Linked DNA regions of Mus musculus: regions 1, 2, 3 and 4 are each reported to be linked to region 5. Evidence: microRNA targets listed by miRTarBase, many of them from high-throughput screens and not tested one by one. Region 5 holds a microRNA gene; each other region holds the end of a gene's coding sequence.
What was found. The annotated mature microRNA mmu-miR-17-5p reads CAAAGUGCUUACAGUGCAGGUAG and lies in region 5 at 1,737-1,759, shown strand. An mRNA with a match to its seed (bases 2 to 7 or 8) in the 3' UTR can be bound and repressed. Matches are read on the target gene's strand: a 7mer-m8 pairs with bases 2 to 8, a 7mer-A1 pairs with bases 2 to 7 and ends in A, and an 8mer does both.

Region 1: miRTarBase lists Cpe as a target of mmu-miR-17-5p. Seed matches in the 3' UTR shown: 7mer-A1 at 2,511-2,517 and 7mer-m8 at 2,327-2,333.
Region 2: the mRNA of C1qa is a reported target of mmu-miR-17-5p. Seed matches in the 3' UTR shown: 7mer-m8 at 628-634.
Region 3: the mRNA of Entpd7 is a reported target of mmu-miR-17-5p. The part of its 3' UTR that is shown has no 7-base or 8-base seed match.
Region 4: miRTarBase lists Klhl2 as a target of mmu-miR-17-5p. Seed matches in the 3' UTR shown: 8mer at 591-598, 7mer-A1 at 1,153-1,159 and 7mer-A1 at 1,201-1,207.

The regions. Positions count from the first base shown.
Region 1 is chr8:64,590,409-64,593,472 of GRCm38, forward strand. Cpe (carboxypeptidase E) reads right to left here. Exons shown (of 9, transcript NM_013494.4): 9 at 2,134-2,813. The coding sequence ends at 2,715. Among named protein-coding and RNA genes, the nearest start is that of Mir710, 78 kb to the left of the region's middle.
Region 2 is chr4:136,893,519-136,896,582 of GRCm38, reverse strand. It overlaps C1qa (complement component 1, q subcomponent, alpha polypeptide), which reads left to right. Exons shown (of 3, transcript NM_007572.2): 3 at 1-667. The coding sequence ends at 429. Among named protein-coding and RNA genes, the nearest start is that of C1qc, 2.1 kb to the right of the region's middle.
Region 3 is chr19:43,729,510-43,732,573 of GRCm38, reverse strand. It overlaps Entpd7 (ectonucleoside triphosphate diphosphohydrolase 7), which reads right to left. Exons shown (of 13, transcript NM_053103.5): 13 at 1-2,876. The coding sequence ends at 2,639. Among named protein-coding and RNA genes, the nearest start is that of Cox15, 22 kb to the left of the region's middle.
Region 4 is chr8:64,738,377-64,741,440 of GRCm38, reverse strand. Klhl2 (kelch-like 2, Mayven) reads left to right here. Exons shown (of 15, transcript NM_178633.3): 15 at 467-1,766. The coding sequence ends at 495. Among named protein-coding and RNA genes, the nearest start is that of Msmo1, 6.3 kb to the right of the region's middle.
Region 5 is chr14:115,041,948-115,045,067 of GRCm38, forward strand. It overlaps Mir17 (microRNA 17), which reads left to right and starts at 1,724; the gene lies at 1,724-1,807. Mir18 (microRNA 18) reads left to right here and starts at 1,904; the gene lies at 1,904-1,999. It overlaps Mir19a (microRNA 19a), which reads left to right and starts at 2,053; the gene lies at 2,053-2,134. It overlaps Mir20a (microRNA 20a), which reads left to right and starts at 2,210; the gene lies at 2,210-2,316. It also overlaps Mir19b-1, Mir17hg and Mir92-1.

The sequences.
Region 1 (3,064 bases), not on the chromosome of region 5:
CACCTCTGACTGTTCCACATCCCATACCCCCTACCCACCCCTCCTGTCTCCACAAGGATGTCCCCACCCCACCCCACCCCACCCCACACACACACCCCATACCACCAGACCTCTAAACTCCCTGGGGCTTCAAGTCACTTGAGGGTCTTCTCTAACTGAATGCAGACCCGGCAGCCCTATGCTGTATATGTGTTGGGGGCCTCATAGCAGCTGGTGTGTGCTACCTGGTTGGTGGTCCAGTGTCTGAGAGATCTCAGGGCTCCAGGTTAATTGAGACTGCTGGTCCTCCTACAGAGCTGCCCTCCTCCTCAGCTTCTTCCAACTTTCCTCTAATTCAACCACAGGGGTCAGCAGCTTCTGTCCATTGGTTGGGTACAAATATCTGTATCTGACTCTTTCAGCTGGTTGTTGGGTCTCTCAGAGGGCAGTCATGTTAGGTCCCTTTTTGGGAGCTCTCCATAACCTCAGTAATAGTGTCAGGCCTTGGGGCCTCCCTTTGATCTGGATCCCACTTTGGGCCTGTCACCGGACCTTCTTTTCTTCAGGCTTCTTTCCATTTCAACCCCTGCAGTTCTTTCAGACAGGAACAATTATGAGTCAGAGTTTTGACTGTGGGATGGCAACCCCATCCCTCACTTGATGCCCTGTCTTTCTGCTGGAGGTGGGCTCTACATGTTCCTTTTCCCCAACATAGGGCATTTCATCTAAGGTTCCTCCTTTTGAGTCCTGAGAGTCTCTCACCTCCAAGGTCTCTGGTACTTTCTGGAGGATCTCCCCAACCTCCTACCTCCCGAGGTTGCCTGTTTCCATCCTTTTTGCTGGCCCTCGGGGCTTCAGTCCTTTCCCCCCCACACACACAATACCAGATCATGTTCCCCTCCCCCCAACCCTCTTTCCCCCCTAAGTCGCCCCTCCCTCCCCATTTGTGATTGCTTCTTCTCCCTCCCAAGTGTGACTGAGGCCCTCACTTGGACCCTTCAGCTGGTTGACCTTTTTGAGTTCTGTGGACTGTATTTTGAGTATTCTGTACATTTTTGGGTGCTAACATCCACTTATTAATGAGTACATACCAAGCATGTCCTTTTGGGTCTGAGTTACCTCACTCAGGATGATATTTTCTAGTTCCATCCATTTGCCTGCAAAACTCAGATGTCCTCGTTCTTAATAGCTGAATAGTATTCCATTGTGTAAATGTACCGCATTTTCTGTATCCATTCTTCTGTTGTGGAACATCTGAGTTGTTCCCAGCTTCTGACTATCACAAACAAGGCTGCTATGAACATAGTGGAACATGTGCCCCTGTGGCATGGTGGAGCATCTTTTGGATATATTTCCAAGAGTAGTATTGCTGGATCTTTAGGTAGATCTATTTCCAATTTTCTGAGGAACCTCCAGATTGATTTCCAGAGTGGTTGTACCAGTTTGCAGTCCCACCAGCAATGGAGGAGTGTTCCTCTTTCTCCACATCCACACCAACATGTGCTGTCACCTGACATTTTGATCTTAGCCATTCTGATTGGTGTAAGGTGGAATCTCAGGGTTGTTTTGATTTGCATTTCTCTGATCCCTTATGGCTTTGAACACTTCTTTAAGTGTTTCTCAGCCATTCAAGATTCCTCTGTTGTGAATTCTAAGTTTAGTTCTATATCCCATTTTTTGATTGGGTTGTTTGGTTTTTTAGTGGTTAGCTTCTTGAGTTCTTTATATATTTTGGATATTAGCCCTCTACTGAATGTGAGGTTAGTGAGGATTTTTTCCCAATCTGTAGGTTGCCAATTTGTCTTATTGGCTATGTCCTTTGCCTTACAGAAGCTTTCCAGTTTCATGAGGTCCCATTTATCAATTCTTGATCTTAAAGTGTGCATCACTGGAGTTCTGTTTAGAAAATTTCCCCCTGTGCCAATGAGTTGAGAGAAGCAGATTCCAATCACAGCACCTACAACTACCTGCAAGTCTAATCTCAGGGAATCTGAAGGCCTTCTCACCTTTATAAGCCACTTAGGAACACAAACTCACACACAGACACACACACACAGACACACAGACACACACACACAGACACACAGACACACACACACACATGAAACTACAGCATTAGATCAAAAACATCATAGAGAAATGCACACCATGGGATTTTTTTTTTTTTTTTGCCTTTATTCATCAGAATGCAATTCTGGGCCAATCTACAATCAAGACAAAACCCCAAACTCTGAAGTGGCATTAACAGGCTGACTAATACAATTCCATTCTTCAAAGTACACGCAAGAACTAGGTTTTCATTCTGTTCAGAGCCCCTCTGAAAAGCACGTACATTTTCTTCCCATCCAAAGTGCATTACCAGGATCATGCTTATACAGTGAATCAGCACAAGAGACTAAGGACAACTTATATGGAACTATGTGATTCTCGCAGTACAGGGTTCACAGATCCAAGCTATATCGGTTGACTTCTTCATGGCATCTGTCATGTGACATTGTCACCCATTACGTTAAAAGAGCTTCGATAGATTTTAAAGTGAATGTTGATGTAAGAATGAAGTAGATCCAGACATTATATTTCTGTCCGGGTGTATTTACGTGATTACTAACTATTACTTAAATGATCAAAAATAAATCAATGTTAAATATCAACTGCACACAACCTAAAAGAAAAGAGCCACATTGCATCTTACTACAGTCTATAGATAGATTAAAGCAATTAGTTAGAAGCCTTTCTTAAAAATTCAAAGTTTCTGACATCATTTTCCACCACTCCATCAATTCTTCCTTCTCCTCCTCCTTCCTTTCAGAGAAAGACTCAAGCTCAAAGTCCACCTGAGGAGGAAAACCAGAACAGATTGCTGTCAGGTCGCTTATATAGTTAGAAAGGGGGTTTGTAGCTTGTACAGTAGAATAGACTCAATCTAGCCACCTGAATTAAAGGAGTATTTTTAAAATCGGTGATAAATGCAATATAGTTTTGTAGGTACAACATTCAGAAGAGAGTTCACCTTAAACTGAATAGCTTCAAAACAGCTCCTGTTTTATAAAAGCCATGACTGTCTCCCCCCACACCCCCTCATGGA
Region 2 (3,064 bases), not on the chromosome of region 5:
GGCAATCCAGGCAATATCAGGGACCAGCCCCGGCCAGCTTTCTCAGCCATTCGGCAGAACCCAATGACGCTTGGCAACGTGGTTATCTTTGACAAGGTCCTCACCAACCAGGAGAGTCCATACCAGAACCACACGGGTCGCTTCATCTGTGCAGTGCCCGGCTTCTATTACTTCAACTTCCAAGTGATCTCCAAGTGGGACCTTTGTCTGTTTATCAAGTCTTCCTCCGGGGGCCAGCCCAGGGATTCCCTGAGTTTCTCTAACACCAACAACAAGGGGCTCTTTCAGGTGTTAGCAGGGGGCACCGTGCTTCAGCTGCGACGAGGGGACGAGGTGTGGATCGAAAAGGACCCCGCAAAGGGTCGCATTTACCAGGGCACTGAAGCCGACAGCATCTTCAGCGGATTCCTCATTTTCCCCTCGGCCTGAGCTGGGGATCTGCCCCTGCATCCTGCCATCTCCTGCGCTCCCTGTTGTGGACCACGCCCCCCCCTCCGTCCTGCACCCCTCCCCTCCGCACTCTGCAAAGTGAAGGGGCTGGGGCTTTAGCACCCTGGGGGAGGGGCTGTCTCGGAGGGAGGGCACTGAGGACTGATGTTTCTGCACACTGCCCAGTGGTTTCTTTAAGCACTTTCTGGAATAAACGATCCCCGTCTGTGTCTGTGACTTTCCGTGCAGTGGCTGGCTGTTCTGGGCACTGAGCAGGAAAGGGGCATAAAAGTGGCCATCGCTGCTGGGCGGTGGTGATGCACGCCTTTAATCCCAGCACTTGGGAGGCAGAGACAGGTGAATTTCTGAGTTCGAGACCAGCCTGGTCTACAAAGTGAGTTCCAGGACAGCCAGGGCTATACAGAGAAACCCCGTCTCAAAAAAAAAAAAAAAGTGGCCATCGCTGACTGCTTGGCTGACTGGGAAAGCAGTGTTAGTTAGCACTGTACACAATGGTTGCGGAGGGCATATCAACCAGGCTCCAGATGTCAGCCCCTGCTAGCTGCCAGATCACACCACATGACCTCAGTTTCCAAATCTGCTAAGTGGTGCCAGTAATGGAAGTTTGGAGAGGGGAGGGGGCTGCCGTGGCCAGGGCGTGAAAGCTGGAGACAGGGGTCTGTTGTTCTGTGTTGGTCAGTCTTGTTGAGCAAGCTCCTAAGTGAGAATTCTAACCATACTTCCCAGATGACTAAGGAGCAGGGGGCATCAAGCCCCAGGTCAGTACCTCAGGCAAGGAGCTGCAGTTGAAATCAGGCTAGCTGACCAATACCCTCCCAGTCTTCCCAGTTATCCTTGGACAAAACCACACAGGTGCTTCTGCAGCCTAGCTCAGAGAGGGCAAACAAGTGGCTCTCTCGGACACCCAGCAGTCTTTCCCAGAGCTGAATTTCCTGAGCGGTTGGTTTCCAGGAAGACATGGAGAGTGGATTGCTGTCACCTGACTGCTTAGCAGCCCTGGGGGTGGGGTGGGGACAACTGAGGATCTTGGGTGCTCAAGTGCATTCCCACAATCCCAGGCTCAAACACAATCACACATGGAGATATACACACACAGTTTCACAGCAATCACACATACACTGTCTCCTGCTCACATACACACTACCCTTGAGACTTACCATGATCCCATGTGGGCTGAGGCTCACCCATTCCTCACCAGAACATGGGCTCAGGGACTTCCTCTCAGAACACTATGTACAGCCTTGGAGGTACACACTAGTCACGTCTCCAAACACACGCATGCATCCAGGCACATGGGCGCACACACATGCACACACAGACATGCACAGTTGTAATGGATGTGCACATTTCCACATGCACAGAATACGAAAGCCTGTGTTTCCTCCCACACTAACCCCCATGTGCTCACAGCTCAGTCGGGGACTATTCCCCCCTCCTGTTCACTGGCTGGTGCACCTGGTCTCAGAGTCATCCCTGACATGGCCTGCAGGTACATTTGGACACACATCATCATGCCCTGTGACTGCAGCCGAGAGCCTCTGGGGTCAGGAGGAGGTGAGACACTCCAGGGAGATTAGACCCCCCTCAACTCCAAGCCACCACATGATCCTCAGAGTTCCTTCTTGGCTTCTTCTTGATCCCTCAGCCCCCCCTCCCCCCATGCCTGAATGCACACCTCCACAGGCTGGGAAAGACTTTGACTTTGGGGACCCCGTGTACTGGCTTTCAAAACAAAGTGTAAAACAGCCACTGAGGCTCCCTGACATAAGGCACCCTGCTGGAAGGTGGGGGATCTACAGCTAAGCCAGGCTGTCTGGCCTCAAAGTGGAGAGCTCCTGTCACTTTGTGGGGTCATGCCTGACCCAGTAAGTGGAGAGTGTGGAACCTTTCCTTAACCTACATTCCAGACACTCTGAAAACCCGCAATTCCTCTGAACCTGGAAGCTGAGCCTGGCAGAATGGTGGGCGTGGTGGAGAAGGCTGAGCACGGACCGAGCCTGACACCTGCTGGAAGAGCCAGGCCAGGCACAGAGGCGCCCAAGACCGAAGAGCAAGGGATTCATCACTACCACCTCACAATACAGAGCCCACCACGCTCGGCTCCTCCCAGTCCCTCACCCTTACCTTAGCCACATAGCATATCCTGGGCTACAAGTGGAGGGACAGTCAGGAGGACTGAAAGAGCAAGACCCTGTGGGCTGCTCAACTAGGTATCCTGAATTGCTAGTGTGGGTCAGGATGTAGCATATGCAGGGTGTAGAGAGCCTGGCTTAGATGTAGCTCCCTCCCCAATGCCCTACACAGGACCCCAGCCCAACCCCAAATCCAGGTAATGAGAGCATTAAGTTGGGCTATCCTACTGCCCCAATCTGCCTTCATCCCATAAATTCCACTTGAGGAAAGAGTCAGGAAGAGGCCTGGCCTGACCACTGCAAGTTCCAGGACCAGAGACAAGGTGGGGGCAGGATGAAGGGGGTAGAAAAACCATCAAGGTGGTGGGGGCCTAGCAAAAGAAGAGGTAGTGCCAATCAGGTCTCTGGAATTCCTACATCCAGTGGGGAGATCAGTCTGCGGGGCAGTGACTGCGTCTCCTGGTCAGGGAGAGACCAGCAAG
Region 3 (3,064 bases), not on the chromosome of region 5:
CTGCCGTAATGATTAAATGATATATAGTAAAGAACACAACATTAAGAGGGATACAAATAAGTGCTTGACAGATGGAAGCTTCTAGTAGCATCAGGACAAAGAGGAAGATCAGTAATGAGAGCTTTACAACCAGACCATTACCACCTCCCTCCTCCAGTCTCAATTGGAGCCCATGAACATGGCCACTGTTAACCTGCCCAGGGACTTCTGACTAGATCTCTCAACACACCAAGACAGCTATATAGAAACCAAGATGAAGCTAAATGTTCCCTGAGGAAGCAAATGGCTGGTAAGAGCATTTTATAGCAACATTAAAAAAAAAAAGCAGAGGCTCACTCACAGGACATAAAAATTAGAATGATGGAGAAGGGAGACAACTGAGAAGTCCTAAGATGTCAACCTCACAGCCCTAATGAAAAGTAGATGACATGAAAGAATTCTTTGCTAGGTGTGCACGTATCTAATGTGCACGCATGGTGGCACACATCTGTAATCACAGCACTCAGGAGGCTGTGGCAGGAGGACCACTGAGAACCAGGCCAGCCTGAGTTACTTAGTGACACCCACTCGGCCTCAAAAAAAAAAAAAAGAAAAGAAAAGAAAAGAGGAGGGGGAGGGGAGGGAGAGGGGAGGGAGGGGGAAGAAAAGGAAGAAAAGGAGGAAGGGGGAGGAGGAGGAGGAAGAAGAGGGAAGGGGAGGAAAGGGAAAGGAGAAGGAAGAAGAGAGAGGGGGCGAGGAGAGAGAGGGAGGAGGGGGAGGAAGAGGGAGGAGATGATGGTAATTGCAGCCTTGCCTAACTGCTAAGTCAACACACTCATCCTCACGTTGGCTTCCTCCCTAAGACCATCTTGACTTTTTTCTCTATTTCATAAATCATTTCATTTCCTTCTGTTCCCAGGAGGAATTTATTATCAAAGAAATTCATTTTTATTCCTTTAGACTCTTTTTTTTTTCTTCTGAACTCCAACACTAGAGATAAAAGGCTTTGGCAAAATGAAGAGAAAATGAGCCAGGTTGGTGATGCTCTCCTTGAAGCCAGCGCTACAAAGACACAGAGGCAGGGATATCAGGGCTTCAAGGCTGGCCTTGGCGACCTAGAAAACTGGGCTCAGGAGACCTGCCTTACTCCCCAAAAGAAGAAATCAAACTCCTGCTTCGGCCCTGGGAACAATCCCAGGTGGGGGCAGGGAGGAGCTGACGATGGAGGACTACAGTATGAAAGGCTGGCTGCAGAGAAGGCCGTCTGAGAGGCAGTAGGTGAGAACATCGGGAATATGGCTTTCCTCTCCCCGCTAGTGGGAGAGCTATTTGTGACAGACATCCAGAAAGTGGCCAGGTTGCTCCATGGCAGATTTATCTAGTTATTCCAAAGTTTAGAATTTGCTGTCTTTTGAGCATCTCAAAAAAAAAAAAAAAAAAAAAAAAGTAAGATCTTTGACTTTAAGCCAGGCATGCTGGCTCATGCCTTTAATCCCAGTGATCGGGAGGAAGATGCAGGTCTCTGTGAGTTTGAGTTCAAGGCCAGCCTGGTCTATAGAGCAAATTCCTCCAGGACAGCCAGAGCTACAGAGACCCTGTCTCAAAAAAACTAAACAAAACAAAACAAAAAACAAACAAACAAAAAACAAAAACAAAAATCAAAACCTTGGATTTTATTGCCTTTGCCCACTCTCCTGATGCTATTCTTTCTTAAAACAAAACATAATTTATAAACAAAACAAGTACATTCCTTCCCAATATATATATATAAGATCTTAGGAGTGAAATGAGGGAAGTCACTTTGAATCTTCTACACGCTATATGCCTGTGAGGCCGTAACCAAAACAGGCAAAACTAGGTCCTGTTCCCATCACGGTTTCTCCAATCTATAAGCACACTTAAGGCTCAAAAGGCAATATTAATGCCCAAGCAGCCTTGTGAGGCACATAGACATGAAAATGTTTTCTATACTGGTCAGACCAAGTATCAGATAAAATACTGTCAGATCTTCAATAAGTCATCCATTTCAAAGGCGCTCTAACCTTTCAGATCTATATAACAAAATCAGAAACACTGCGGGGGGGGGGGGGGGGTGAATCTCCGAGCACATCCACAATGGCTTGTCAAGTAAGCAAGGAAGTTGTATCGTTTTGGTTGCCTTGAAATCTGGTCCACTGAACCTCAGAGATCTTAGGTCCCTATTCAAGGCTGTGGATCTTCCACATAAGGATCTCTCTGTTACAGAGAAAACAGGGGCAACTGCACTTGCTGGAATGTCTCTGGCTTTGTAGCAGTCAATCCAAGCTGATTTCAACCACGCCTCCGGTTGCCCAATCAAAAACTTGCTTCAGCAAGGGGCGGGGGGGGGGGGGGGATGCTACATCCCAGAAACAGATCAAATTTCTGAGATAAAGGAGAAGCATGCTTCATTTGGGCTAAGCTTAGCACCAGCCTCTCGACATTTAGTTCCTCGAAGTTAAATTGCGACTTCTGAGAAGAGGTCCCGTCCTGGGCACCAAAAAGAAATCAAAGTGAATAAGTAGAAATTCGCAGGCCAAAGCAGCATCGGAGGCCAGTTCGAGAAAGTGGAGGAATTCAGTCAGCAGCAGCAGCAGCAGCAATCCGAAGGAATGGGAGGTTCTCCACTTCCGCTCCAGCCTCACGGCCCCACCTGGACCCCAATCATCGGCACCACTTGCTCGATCCACAGCAGGTCCAGAGGAGCCGAGGCTCGGGTTTGTCTGCGGTGAATTCTGTGGATGCGCAGAAGGTACAGGACGATGGCCAGAAGCACCACCAGGGTACAAGCAAAGAAGAGATAGTGGTTGTAGACAAAGGAAAGGCGGAGCCAGCTGCCGTGGGCTGGCCGGACTCCTCCCTGTCCCTGCCGAAGGTCCCTAGGGCGAGTGGAGAGAGAACTGTTAGTTTCAAAGTGGACTGGGGCTGTCGGCTGAAGTCTCCATCCCACTTTATCCCTCTTATCTCTCCACTCAGACATTCTAAGAAACCAGCTGTGGCCAGCAAATGAAGCTTAAGGACACCCAGGGCCAAGGGCTGACCGACTTCCAGCACCTTCCCTTCCTTG
Region 4 (3,064 bases), not on the chromosome of region 5:
TGTTTGTTTGTTTGTTTTAAGAAAAGTTTTTTTTTTAAAGAAAGAAAGAGAGGGAGGAAGAGAGAGAGAGAGAAGAAAGAGAGAAAAGAAAGAGAGAAAAGAAAGAAACCAGTAAGAACTGGAAGATGGTGCAGGAATTGAGTGCACTTGTTGGTCTTGTGTAGGACCCAGGTTCTATCCCCAGCAACCATATTGTGGTTCACAATTATCTCTAACCCAGTACCTGAAGATCCATGCCTTTCTCTGACTTCTGATTTCATAAGGCACACATATGGTACACATACATACATGAAGGCAAAACACTCACATAAAATATGATAATCTAAGTTTTAAAACATGATGCTGCTAAGTTGGAGGAAAGGCACTTGGGTGTTGCCCGTGGCTTTAGCAGTACAGGCTTCTTGATTTTCTCAAAGGCGCAGAGTGTTGCCTGTGACATGTCTTATCTTTTCATTCCTTCATGCAGGGGTCACAGTTATTGATAAACCGTTATGAGCCTGAAGGACATTTTCAGCGTATCATTCCATGAGAACCAGGCGTCCACAAGTATTTCTGAAGGGACTGAGCGCCTGGCCTCTCCACTTGTAGCCGCACTTTACGTCTCAGCAGAAGATGAGACCATCTGCCTTCAGAGGCCTCGGATACTGAAGATTATTTTTGGTAGAAGCACTGTGTAGGCTTTCTCTGCACCGAGCAGCAGCTGACTGACTTTACAAGAGACCTAGACTGCAGTCCCTCCACTGTGGTCTTTAGGCAACAGTCGCTTTCATAAAAACTAGTTCTTATCAGCCTCGAATGACTATGGATTATTTTGTGAAAGAGAATAAAGTTAACGTGTGTTCTTGTAAAATTAAGTTTTATCTTTATTCTTTCTCCTGAAAAATCTCCTGGGAACAGAGAATCTTTGGAGCAGATTAAAATCTATGTAAGTATATGACACTGTTGAGGGGTGAAACTGCTGGCTTTTATAAGTATCTTTGATTACATGACTATAATAAATTGTGTGCATATAAATGTGTGTCTATATGCTTTCCTTTAAATATGTTTGAAAAGATGTTTGATTATCTATTTATAATTGGCACAGTACTTTGAATTATGCCAGTACTACATTGTAAAACAGAGTTGTATTTTTTGATATTTAACAATGCTGAACACTTTAAAAAACGCCACTTCTGAGGAATGAATGAACATGGCGTAACACACTTTAATATGTGTGATGCCAAACTTTTTTAAATAAAATATAAATTATGCTTATTTATTATTTTTTTCTTTAGTTTAATCTTGATCATGTTTTGGTGTGTGTTTTTAATTTTTTTTCTTAAAGTAACACTTTTGGCATGAACATACCTGCAGGTTTTTTGATGAATATAATGAATGTGTGGAATTCAACTGAATTTGCATGGTCTTAAGAATTTTTTCTGTGTGTATAAATTTAGCTGCTATTAATGGAAGAGAAAGCTTTCTGTGACTAATCATGTGTATTGAGCAGATAGTTTTTCTGAGATCTTCGATTAATCTCTTTAAAGATGACCAACATGTGTCTTTCTTGAATTATCTTTGAATAAAAGTTTGTATATTATTTGTTTCACAACGTCCTTGGTTTTACCAGTGTGACTTTTTGACTATTCCTTTTGCAGACCTTGGGTTCTCTGACTTCATACATTGATACCATTATTTTTCATGTTTGGAACAATTCTGTGTTTTCATTTTTATTTATTTTTTGCTAAAGTAACTTGTACACTAAATCTATTAAAGAAATAACCAATAACACTGGGAGTTGTTCTTGGGGAAAAAATATTGACCTCAGCCATCAAAGTAATGGACTGACTAAACTATTATATTTCCTTACTCTTTAGGATCAGTAGCACATAGATGAAAAAACAAAAACAAAAACAAAACAGTAAGTAGCCTTGATAGAAGGGGAAACAGTTGTGAAGCAACTGAGGATCCGTGGCTTTGATAATAAATACACAGAGCTGAAGGATGGGAGTGAAGGAGTGGGTTGAGTGCAGGGCACAACAGAAAGGGTGGAATTGGAAAGGAAAATTAAGCTTATGATTGTCTGTCAGGAGAGGAATCTAAAGGGTCACACTGTCAGCAAAAGTTATAATCATCAGGAAAGAAACACATGCTAAAATTTCTCTGTGGTTGATACAAACTGTTCACATTTAAATAGAACCACATTGCACAGTTGAAGTCTCCATTACAAATAAAGATAGAGTTTAATCAGGAAGGGCCTGTGTTCACTTGATGAAACATGAATTTCCACATTAGTGCAGCCTTCCAGCTTGGCCATTATTAGCAAACATGTCAGGGGTCTAATGAGTCTGGAACTCAGCCATGTCTAACAGCAGCGCCAAGAGAAGGTAGACATTCTATTTCCCAGTCAGTTCCTAGAAATGAGGAATGAATGGTTCTTTCTCTTATCACAACACAGAATATTCCTATGACTACATGTTTGTGAAGGGCCCTCACACACAGCAGTTCTCCAAAGATTGTTGCCTGAATAGCCAATAGTTCAGTTTACCCAATCAAGAAACAGGGTCGGATCCCATAAGACTGAGGGCTCAGCCCCACCAGCCTCCCCACCCCAACTTCAGATACCAGTCACTGGTATTTCTTCCCAACTGACTAGAAGCAGACTGTAGTGACACTCCCTCCTTGGGTGACCCCTATTTGCTAAGATAGCTCACAACTTAGGAAGACATATTCTGATTTGCTTCATGGTTTTTCTTGGTTTTTTTTTTTTTTTTTCATCATACAGGGTCTCAAATGTAGCCCTGACTGTCCTACGTAGACCAAGGTGGTCTTAAACTTAACCTTTCTCCTGAGTGCTGGAACTAAAAGTTTGCATCAGCACCCCCATCTTATATTCTGGTTTGGCTTTAGATATTGCAAAGCATACAGATTGAGATGTTTCTGAGGCAAGGCAGGGAGCTGTCCTATCCTTAGAGCCAGCACTGTCTCAACCACTCTAACTGGGCTTGCCTAACAGTCTCTTCCCCTTGTGTGAGAGGTCCTTTAATCATCCAATCAATCTGGTGACCGCTGTACATCGAAGGTG
Region 5 (3,120 bases):
GGGGGGGGGGGGACATGGCGGCGACTGCGCGCCGCCGCCGATTGTTCCCGGCTTAGGCCTCGGGCCGCGTGCGGCGAGCGCCCTGTCCGCCCCCCTCCCTCCCCCGGAGCCTGGCCGGGGGGCGCGCGGGACACAAAGGACGGCCGGCGTGTCCGGAGCCTCGCCACGCTCGGGCCTCCGCGCCGCCGCTCGCCGCGCAGCCGCCCAGAAACGGGCGGGGGTTGGGGGGGGGGGGGAGTCTCCGCGTCCGGCGCAGCGCGGCCCGGCTCTGACCTGCCGCCCCCTGGCGGCCGCGCGGGGAACCCACAAGGGCCGCCTGCCCCCTTGTGCGACATGTGCTGCCGGCCCGGGCTCCATGAGCGTGGCGGGTACTTGGCAGGATCCCGTGTTCCCGTCCGGTTTTCTCTTGATAAGCTGGCGCGGAGGGGAGAAAACTGGAGAGCGCAGCAGGGCTCGTGGTTCTTAGGTGACCAGAGGGAAGAAAATGAGCAACGTGCCACGAGGATCACAGCAGTTGGGGAAACAACTCTTTATCCCGGCGTGCAGCCACGAGGTCCTGATTGGGGGAGGGGTGGTGAAGACTAGTCCTGGTTGCCCTTTTTCTCTAGCTTGAGCTGGACAGTAGAGTTCAGGCTTGCTGCTACTCATCTTGCAGTATTTCAGGGGCACATTAATTCGTGCACGGATGTGAATCTTGGTGGGTTTTCAACTTTATTTTGTTACAGCGTTTTCCACCCAATACATTGTTGCCCTCAGGACCTTGTGGTCCTGGCTCTCTCTTTTTTTTTTTTTTTTTTTTTTTTTTTGGCAAATGGATAGAATTGCCCCTTAGGAAGATTAAGAGAAGAGCAACTTGGAATGGGGCTCGGAAAGTGGTAGTAATTTTGAGCAAATGTGCTTACCCTTTCTCTGTCTTCACCCCACCCCCAACCCTAGTCATACACGTGGACCTAGCAGCACCCGAAGCATTGCCCAAGGATACTTGCTGAGAAGGAAGTTTGCCTGAGTGGGTGAGTATATTCTAGTTTTGTAGCTAAAACTTCTTTTGAGACCTTTGGTTTTCACTTTTGTCTTTGAGCTTGTACAACATTCTTGGTCTTTTAAGGTATGAAATAAATACAGTTTGAACTCTTGTCATAAATGAGTGAGCCACATTTTAACGTAGTAAATCTACAGTGGCTTTTGGACACTAACCAAATAGTTGTAGACCCTTCAAGTTGGAGTCATAGAGTATTTCTAATTTGGGGTGATACTAAGACTTTTTTATGTTTTATGACTAATAAACTTGAAAATGACTAAACAATAATCATTAATCTTGTCGAGTATCTGACAATGTGGAGGACAGAAGAAAGGGATTGCTGCCTGGTCAATGTGAGGCTTTCCTCTAAAGGTAGTACCAAGTCAGACTGCCTTCCTGATAACAGGTCTCATTTTGTAGGACCCTTATTGTGTGTTTTTTGGGGAAGCCTACTGTAAAAGCCAACATTTTAATGGGATTGTATCTTATATTTCTTTAAGGAGTTTTTTTTTTTTTTTTAAGGCTTACATGTGTCCAATTTGGAACTTCTGGCTATTGGCTCCTCCCCTCCCCCCCTTGGGTATAAGCTGTAATTGATGTTTGTGACAGAATTTAGAGCTTTGGCTTTTTCCTTTTTGTCTAATTATTTATTTCAAATTTAGCAGGAATAAAGTGAACCTCACCTTGGGACTGAAGCTGTGACCAGTCAGAATAATGTCAAAGTGCTTACAGTGCAGGTAGTGATGTGTGCATCTACTGCAGTGAGGGCACTTGTAGCATTATGCTGACAGCTGCCTCGGTGGGAGCCACAGTGGGCGCTGCCTCGGGCGGCACTGGCTGCGTCCAGTCGTCGGTCAGTCGGTCGCGGGGAGGGCCTGCTGGTGCTGCGTGCTTTTTGTTCTAAGGTGCATCTAGTGCAGATAGTGAAGTAGACTAGCATCTACTGCCCTAAGTGCTCCTTCTGGCATAAGAAGTTATGTCCTCATCCAATCCAAGTCAAGCAAGCATGTAGGGGTCTCTCCATAGTTGTGTTTGCAGCCCTCTGTTAGTTTTGCATAGTTGCACTACAAGAAGAATGTAGTTGTGCAAATCTATGCAAAACTGATGGTGGCCTGCTATTTACTTCAAGTGTTGTTTTTTTTTAAACTAATTTTGTATTTTTATTGTGTCGATGTAGAGCCTGCGTGGTGTGTGTGATGTGACAGCTTCTGTAGCACTAAAGTGCTTATAGTGCAGGTAGTGTGTAGCCATCTACTGCATTACGAGCACTTAAAGTACTGCCAGCTGTAGAACTCCAGCCTCGCCTGGCCATCGCCCAGCCAACTGTCCTGTTATTGAGCACTGGTCTATGGTTAGTTTTGCAGGTTTGCATCCAGCTGTATAATATTCTGCTGTGCAAATCCATGCAAAACTGACTGTGGTGGTGAAAAGTCTGTAGAGAAGTAAGGGAAAATCAAACCCCTTTCTACACAGGTTGGGATTTGTCGCAATGCTGTGTTTCTCTGTATGGTATTGCACTTGTCCCGGCCTGTTGAGTTTGGTGGGGATTGTGACCAGAAGATGTGAAAATGACAATATTGCTGAAGATGCCGATTTCCACTGTAAAAATGTTCACGAGCTGATGGAGTGTATGAACACATTCTGTAAACTGTGATTTCTATTGCTTTCGTTGGTGTGTAAAACGGGATTTTTTTAATTGAAATTTGTGTTTTTAAATTGTGGTTTGTTTTTACTGAATCATTTCATTTTCGTGTTTGCTCGCTGGATTTAGTAAGAAGTTGTGTGTGGGGGCTTAGGTGAAGTTAAACTGCCTTTTGAACCTGGTATGACTTCAGGTTTATTTTACTCTAAAACCCATTAACATGAGTTAAGAAAAATGTTACTTTCTTTGGATCTCTGTTTATTAAAGTGTGACAATTCAGATGGAGTGTTTTCTGATAAGATTATTCCTAATCCGTGAGTTCTTAACAGTTAACAGGTGGTGGCCACTCTGTTAATGTGCACACCCTGTAAGAAAGAACTATCCTTGGACTGTTCTTACCATGTGACCCCCTCAAGGGAAAGATGGCAAACTGATGGTCAGTAGAGTGACAGGTACACAT